Oryzias latipes: one gene and its partner. The protein of the gene in region 1 purifies or fractionates together with the protein of each later gene. This does not show direct contact. Links are inferred from orthologs where the notes say so. Each region holds a gene or a part of one and is shown on either strand. Other genes may lie near its edges. The genes, in order: stip1 and ccdc117.

What was found.
Region 2: the proteins of stip1 (region 1) and ccdc117 purify together in Homo sapiens (affinity purification with mass spectrometry; 5 studies listed by BioGRID and IntAct, counting the BioPlex papers as one, with this or other methods). This does not show direct contact. The link is inferred for Oryzias latipes from reciprocal best matches to the Homo sapiens genes STIP1 and CCDC117.

What each region holds. Positions count from the first base shown.
Region 1 is NC_019872.2:19,986,642-19,990,562, reverse strand, and holds the start of stip1 (stress-induced-phosphoprotein 1), read left to right. Parts: upstream 1-888; 5' UTR 889-1,004; coding exon 1,005-1,013; intron 1,014-3,599; coding exon 3,600-3,809; intron 3,810-3,921. UniProt on the Homo sapiens protein: Acts as a co-chaperone for HSP90AA1. Mediates the association of the molecular chaperones HSPA8/HSC70 and HSP90.
Region 2 is NC_019867.2:12,561,931-12,565,854, forward strand, and holds the start of ccdc117 (coiled-coil domain-containing protein 117), read left to right. Parts: upstream 1-1,252; 5' UTR 1,253-1,601; intron 1,602-1,852; 5' UTR 1,853-1,874; coding exon 1,875-2,017; intron 2,018-2,100; coding exon 2,101-2,148; intron 2,149-2,228; coding exon 2,229-2,492; intron 2,493-3,924. Other genes in the region: transcobalamin-2, read right to left, coding at 1-168, 573-639. UniProt on the Homo sapiens protein: Facilitates DNA repair, cell cycle progression, and cell proliferation through its interaction with CIAO2B.

The DNA of each region.
Region 1 (3,921 bases):
TTTTCACACTCTATTCACATTACAATTTGCCTTTTTTGTGAAATACAATACCACGTGTTACATCCTCTATTTGGTACGTTTCTTTTGGTGGCAAAGAGTGTTAAATAAACCCCTTTTCTGTAATCAATTTATTATATTTTATTTGTTTGTTCATTGTTTTTTCTTCTTCACCTTGGATACTTGTGAATTTGTTACACTAAAATATTAATTTATTCAGTAAGGTTCTACTCCATTCTGTTCCATTATACTAAATTTATATCATGTTGTCCTTTGTTTGAGTTTTATTCTAATAAATGAATGCTAAAAAAACCTCTATTGGATTTTTATTTATGTTTCATTCATTTTTTTAATTTAATGTGACAATGTTTGACACATATTTTGTTCAAGAAAATATTTTTTACCTAAATGTTTTTTTCTAGTGATTCATTAGAAAATAACGTATTGATGTTACACAATATTTTACCAAAGTGACCAAAAAGCACTACAATGCATTTTTGTTTATACAAAGGAAATTTCCGTATTAATGTTAAAATATTAGCAAAGTAAAACTGATGAATATTTATTGTATTTAAACATGTATGTTTTAAATTTTAAAAATGTTAACCTTGTCAACACCCTTAAATATGTGATGACATTTAAAAGTATGAGTTTCTCTTCAATATTATAGTTACGTGGATGCTGGTGTTGCTCAAAATATAAACGCTTAATTTAACCTTTTTTCAGACTTCTGTTCTTACTCTTGTAAGTGAATGCGCTTGTATCTTCAATTTGAGCTTTTACATTAGGCATAGAGGAGAGTAAAACTTCAAGGGCTGGGTTTTGAGAGTTTTTTTCCCAATTCATCTTCTGGAAGTTTCAGTCAGGAGGCTATATATTGCTCGTCAGAGGCTCCACGCGAGTTCGTCGCTGTTTGCGGATCTTCTACAACAATCTGGCAACCCGCACGTGTTCAGGGGGAGGCGCTAGTCCGCAGTAGTTTCTGGAACGTACCTCATGCTTGTATCATGGAGAAAGTAAGTCTCGTGTAATCGCATTTTCTTCTTCTTTCAAAACAAACATTTAAAATGGGTTTTTAAAGAATTGTGCAATGTTGAGATGAAACGAGTTTTCTTAAAAATCGTAGTTAAAAAAATTGTCTTAGTTTTAATCCTTAGCTTGAAGAGATTCACTTTGCTAATGCATCGAGCTAGCTTAATGTTAGCTAACCGTCATTCAATGTGGTCACTTAGAATGGAAGGTGTAGCTGAGCTTTGAGTTTTCCGTAAAACATTTTCATTTTATGTTAAAGTCCAAATAGTCTTGCGATATTTCCAGGTAACAACGCATGTGTGTCCAGTTAAGCTAATTAGCCATGATACGAAAATTCTACTGAAACTCCACTAATTTGAACTAAACGTGTTTGATTTATAAAAAAAATGTATATACATATTGGTTCATTTCTTTTCTGTCTTTGCCCATGCTTATCCTTAACCCTCGTAGCTTCAGACTAGTTCGCAAATCTTTGACATTGCAAGTACGAAATAACGATTTAAATTACGTTCATAATGCAACTAGTTGTATATTTTTGTATGTATTAGAGATTGCTAGTTTATATGCTCTCGTTCTAGTGTGGCACACAGCGCTTAAGTACTTTTCGATCGGCTGTATATGTTTAAGTAGCCTGCTCTCACACCGGAGGATCATTCTAGATGCACAGGTCGCTGCTGCCATGGCTACAGCCGCATGTCGTCGGAAATTGTCGCGCATTTTTCCGGTTTTTAAATTGTAGTATTTTGGTCCCAATTTGAACGTCTCTCTAAAAAAAATTTAAAGTCTCGTTTTCTCCAAACCTGTCGCAAATATTTAGTGATAAATATTGCAATAATATTTACTGGCAACAGCGTTAGCAACTATATGTATATGTATGCTAATCATGTAAAAATTATATTTTCTTAATATCCAGCGTTTGTTGTTCATGGGATCAACTAATGTTAATCCCCTAATCTGTGGTGATCTGGCTGTAATTACATGTTGTGACTTAATTAGTCTGTAAAACTGAAAATGATTTAAATCCTAAAGGGTCTTTTAACAGTAAGCTTTGAATTCACACGTGTAATTAATACTTTACAAAAGGTAATTACATGTGATGTAATGGGTCTTAAGCTGTATTTAAACTTTTGTTATCAACCCACAAATATAGAAATATGAGTCCTCTCAATTTCATCTTATAAAGATTGCATTGATAAATTAATGATCATAAACTTTAAATGTGAAATTTGATCAAAGGAGACAAACAGGCACAAACATTGGTTGTTTATTCACAAAACTTGGGGACATACTCATTTTAGTTGACCTGCTCAGAAAATACTTCTTTCTCTTCTTGGATGACCCCCCATTGAAAAAGTCATATTTGACGTTTTCAACATCCACTACTTTCATTAAATAGACTAAAAAGAAGTTTTCAAATCTGTTCTAATTGTATTTTAAAGCTCTTATATTGAACTTGGTCTGAAGAATAGTGTAAAGTTGTGAAAATTTGTTTTTTTTTTCTTCTTCTTTTTTTTGACAAGAATGAATTTCATAGAGCCATCACACCTGCATGACAACTGACTGTACTCTTTACTTTAGAAAAGATGGAAATGGACCATTGCAAGTGATATGTTCTCTTCCTTTTCAGTGCGATGAATTACCAAAGTTTGAATTTACTCATCTCTATTTGTGCCGTTTATTAAATGTATTGTTTCTTTGGACAGACTTCTCACTTCAGTCTGAAGTAATGAAATTTAGTTTATGAACAGATCTTTGAGTCCATTTAGAAATTAAAGCAAAATCTGGCCATTTTTTCAAATGTTTAATTTATTATCAAAGGTGTTGGGAACAGCTTCGACTGCGAGCTGGTGTGAAGCTTTATGTGTTTTTTCAATTTTAACTCTGATAACAGAAACGAAAGAAAAGACACAAGTTACCCAATTGGGTTTTATTGGATTAAGTGCAGTGTGTGGAGGAATGCAAACTTCTTTTACATTACAAGCTTAATGTGTTGGACCAGGAATCATTATATCTCACAAAGTATCGATTTAATGTTGTTATTTTTTTTACATTTTCATTCAAACGTAGTATCTTCTGGTGACGAGAACAACCTTTTGTATAACTATCAAAGAAGTAGGTTGATAAAAAAGCAGTCAATTGGACTTGGTTTCACATTTAATATTTTTCCAAAAGCCTTTCCTTAATCTGAAATGCATTACTAAGAGAGCAGGTTAATCTGCTCCTTAAGGCAAGGCAACCCAATGCTTAGGAGACTGAATATACCCTCATCACAAACGTCAATGTTCATAGCTTTTTTACATTTTTAAGTGGGCAATTTTGTTTATTTGTGCCTCTTTTACTCTCATTTGCCCCTGTTATGGATGTTTAAACTGTTTCTGGAGTTTCTCTTTATGGTGTGGATAAATTTCGTCTGTACAGATGAAGGAGAAATTCTCCATTCATTGTGGTCTTATTGTTTGTTTTTTCATGATCAGTTCTTAGGCTGTTTTTCAGCTCCTCTATATGGCATTTTTTGTATGCAAACTTTGATCTGGTGCTAATAAGCATGTTGGGTTTTGATGTTTTTCTAGATTTCAGCATTGAAGGAGCAGGGCAACAAAGCCCTGAGTGCAGGGAATATCGATGAAGCTGTGCGTTGCTACACGGAGGCCTTGGCTCTCGACCAATCCAACCATGTTCTGTACAGCAACCGCTCAGCTGCTTATGCCAAAAAGGGCAACTATGAGAACGCACTCCAGGACGCCTGCCAGACTATTAAGATCAAGCCAGACTGGGGAAAGGTGAGCAACCTTTTGCAGTTTCATTACCCTGAAGGATGTAACGGTAGGGGTGTGACGATAACCGCATCACCGCACTTATATATTTTTTTTAGGAAAGTTCTGCACATGGTGC
Region 2 (3,924 bases), on another chromosome or scaffold:
CATTTTTCAGTTTGTTCAGGTGTTCGTCTTCCTTTACATGATTGTGATAATTAGAGAGGCGCAGGGCTAAGTGAACGCTGGGGTTGGGAAGTCCTTCCTGTGTCTCCAGAGAGTGAAGGAGCTGCTTGTTGAGGGACAGCAGCAGTTCCCGGTAGTTTCCATCAGTATCTGGATTCAGTTTTCAGATAAAAACAAAAATGAAGCTTTTTTGGAAAAAACAGAAGAAACAAAAAGCTTTTTTTTTTTTTTTTTAAATCTCATATGCTTTGTTATGGTGCAATGTCCCAAAAGGTTCAATCCGCACCTGTATGGAAGAACTTAAAAGCTTTATCCAATTATTTGGTATTATATTTATATGCATTTACAGAATTAAGCACTAAAACAACTATAACTCCTCCTAATAAGGTGCATGAGTGTTGCTAAATGATTGCAACATTTCCAAATGTCCAGATTGTGGAGTCATACCCTAGTAATAGTACTAAACTTCCTTCTTTTTTAAAGCAGTTCAAATCAGTTCCTTTAGATTCTTTTTTTAAAAATGATTTTATGTATTAATTAATTCATTTACTTACCGTGTAAGTTTAATGCCTTCCCAAACGCACAGGCAAATAGGCCCAAAACTATGACCAGGCGGAGCATTCTGAATCAACGATGGATCATTCGCCGCTTGTCCAGAACGCTAAAATAAAAAATAGATATATGAAAAAATTTAAAGGTCACGCTACTATAATAAAAAAAGATGTTTTGGATAAGTGATGAGTGCAATTAAGTTTCGCAGAGAGGGTTTGCCGCTGACCTGAACACAACAGACGCTCTTCTTGACTTTGTCAGTGTCCACTGAGAAGACTCAGACTGGAGTGAGAAAACAAGTTGAAGCGGAAAGTGATTCGGTTTACATTCTTCGGAGTCACATGACTGGTCAGCTGAATTGAAAAAAAAATCCCTATAAAAACATTTGAGAACATAAACAGGAAACGAACAAAGTTGGTTGACAATAAGACTTTTTAATTGGCTACTGGCTTTGCACACGTGCCAAGGTAACCCTATCAGGTATCGAGCACGTTTGGGGGCGGGACATTGATTTCCTCTGCTTCAGCGCTTAGCACTTTTTAGACACGCAATTTATACATTTGGCATAGAAAAATATAATCGAATTTGTTTTTATTGCCACAAAAAGGTTTCTTTAAGACGTATTTTGCTTTATTTATTTATTTTTTAATATTATATTGCGTTGAGTTGGGGTTTGTTTAAACTGAACTACATTTCCCACAATCCACCACTGTCATCGACCGTAGACTACGTACCTTCTAGAAACTTGACGAGCGTTCGAGTGCGTGCCTCTATTTCAGAATGTGTAGCTAACGTATTTTGACCCAGCCTACTTCTCGTGGAGACACTATTACAGAGACAGAGGCCATTTATTTTCCGCTCGACCTTACTATTATTATTATTCTTTCATTCGGTCAGTGAAACTCGAGAATGGAAAGTGTCTGTTTGCGGATATCAAAATGAAAGACTGAACTACTAGTGGACGTCAGAGGAGGCTCAGCCTAACAACAATAATAAACTATTGGCAGCAGGCATTGCAGCTACACTGACAGGTCAGTCTTGTTGAACATTGCCTTTACGCAACTCTTCCAAAAATGTTCTTTTGTTGAATGATTAAAGCGTTTTTGTGTGTCATAGATGCTAACAAGTTATAATAAGAACATCCGAAATATAAACTAAATGTTAAATAGACCGATGCTAGCTAGCTGTGTGTAAATGCATTTGATGCACAGTTGGTCAAAACTATACTAAAGGTTATCTTAGTATACTAAATAGGTGGTGGTTTCTGCGTGTGTCGCTTCAGGCCTCAGAACAAGTGGATCCTGATGCATCAGCCTGCTCCCTCCAGCTCGGAGCTGAGCCTTCTGCCAGCCATGTTTCCCTTTTCAGGCCCTGCAAGCCTCCCTGAATTTGACTTCAGACCTCCGAGTTCAGCTGAGCACCAACTAAAGGCGACGAACTCCAGCAAGTGAGTCCCTTATAACTTTTTTGTTTGTTTGTTTCTACATTTTCTGTTCTGACTTTGTTTTTTCTTTCTTTCTTAAACCACAGCAACTGGGAGATGAGATGTCTAAGAAAACACAGGATCCTGGATGATGAGTAAGTGAGATATATCTACATATAATGAAGACCAAATTCTAAAGTGTGCACCAACAGAAATATTTATTTTTATTTTTCAGAGGATGCAGTGCCAAAAAAAGAAGGATCATGTCTGAGGCAGAACTGGACATTTCACAGAACTCCAGGACTCCTCAAGAGTGGACCCAAACAAATGGTTGCAATGCTGCACGCGCCCAGACTGTTCTCCTGACTCCTCCACAGTCCTGCTCTGTCCAGCAGAGCTTAGCTGTGTCTCAGTCCGGCCCCCAATCCCGGCCTGCCAGGGAGTCCTTCAGCATGGAGGTAGAGGCAACTCAAAGAAAACTGCAGGAGATTGAAGACAGGTATGCACAAATGCTCAAGTTCCATGCCCAACCCTCCAAGAGGCAGCATGTAAACCAAATTTTATGGATAAACTGCTGAAGAATAGCAGAAATTCTTTTACAAATTGCTTGTCAGGCTGGTTGGAAAACCAGTTTTAATAATGGTTTAAACTTGAGATTCTCCGTGTGCTCAGAAATATTTACTCTACTTAAGAACCTAGATTTGTGAAGTCTCCTGTAGTTTTTATTTAGGATTTTCTCCTATTGCAGTCAGAAAGTGGCATTTGCTTAGTATAATAAGCATATATATAAATATAATACTGCTGTACTTTTCCAGCAGTTGGTTTGTTTTATCTGTTGACCAATTGGCCTTTCAAATTTGAGTTTATCCACTTTGCTTAGTGTAATGTAGACTGGATTTTAAAAACCTCTACATGTTTCCCAAATGTTATTCTGACTTGTCTTATCCTCACCCTCTACTTAGTCATCTTTTTTATGAATAAAAAGATGCTTTTTAGTCAGAAAAAAGCATCTTTTTGCCCACAAATGAGCCAGTTATGACCCGGCAACTGAGATCCCCTTTAAAGGGCCGCTTATATCATGGCTTTTCTTAAGCCCTTCAGAGGAAACTATATCCATATATATGATAATATTTTAACGTTGGCATGCTAAATAATGCTTTTTTTTTAAATAAAACATTAGTTATTTTCCTGAGTTCTTTTCCAACCCGCAAGTCAGATGACTCAGTCTGTGAGGCTCCGCCTTTCGCTCCTTGTGGGTGCCGCCCAATTTAGAGTCGTCCTTGGCAAAAAACAACATCCAAACTATTAAAAGATGGATGTGCATTATGTGCATAGAAAATGATTTGCAGATCACGACCAGCTCCGCAGAGAAAACGGGTGTGTATATTAGCCTGTGGGCGGTGCTGGACTCTTCCTGGAAGGGGCTGTTTGTCACTTTCACACGTATGAATGTGAAAACTCACACATTTTCGTGGACTGGGAGGGGCTGGTGGTCAAGTTTTTAAAGGATGCGTGACTGAATGAAAATACCGCTTTGGGGTTATTTTTAGTGAGGAATGAGCATCATAATACAGTTAAAAGCTAAAAAAAAATTGATCTTTACATGATATAGGCCCTTTAATGAAAGTGTGAAATAAAACTGGCACATCGCTGTCGGCCACCAGGTGGCACTGTTCAGCACTTTCAGTGTACACGACTGAGCATTTCTTTAGTTTTACTATGATGCCTTCATGTATTTAAGATGGATTTTAAAAACAAACTTCTACAAAGAAAGGAAGAAGTTGACGAAGTTGTGTGAAATTATAATTGAGATCTATTCATTTTCAACCACAACTGTGGGAAAAAAAAGACAAATGTTTTGCAGCCTATATCAATCTGCTGGAACTGAGTAAGTCTGCTAACTTGCCTAAAATGCTTAAAAACCAACAACT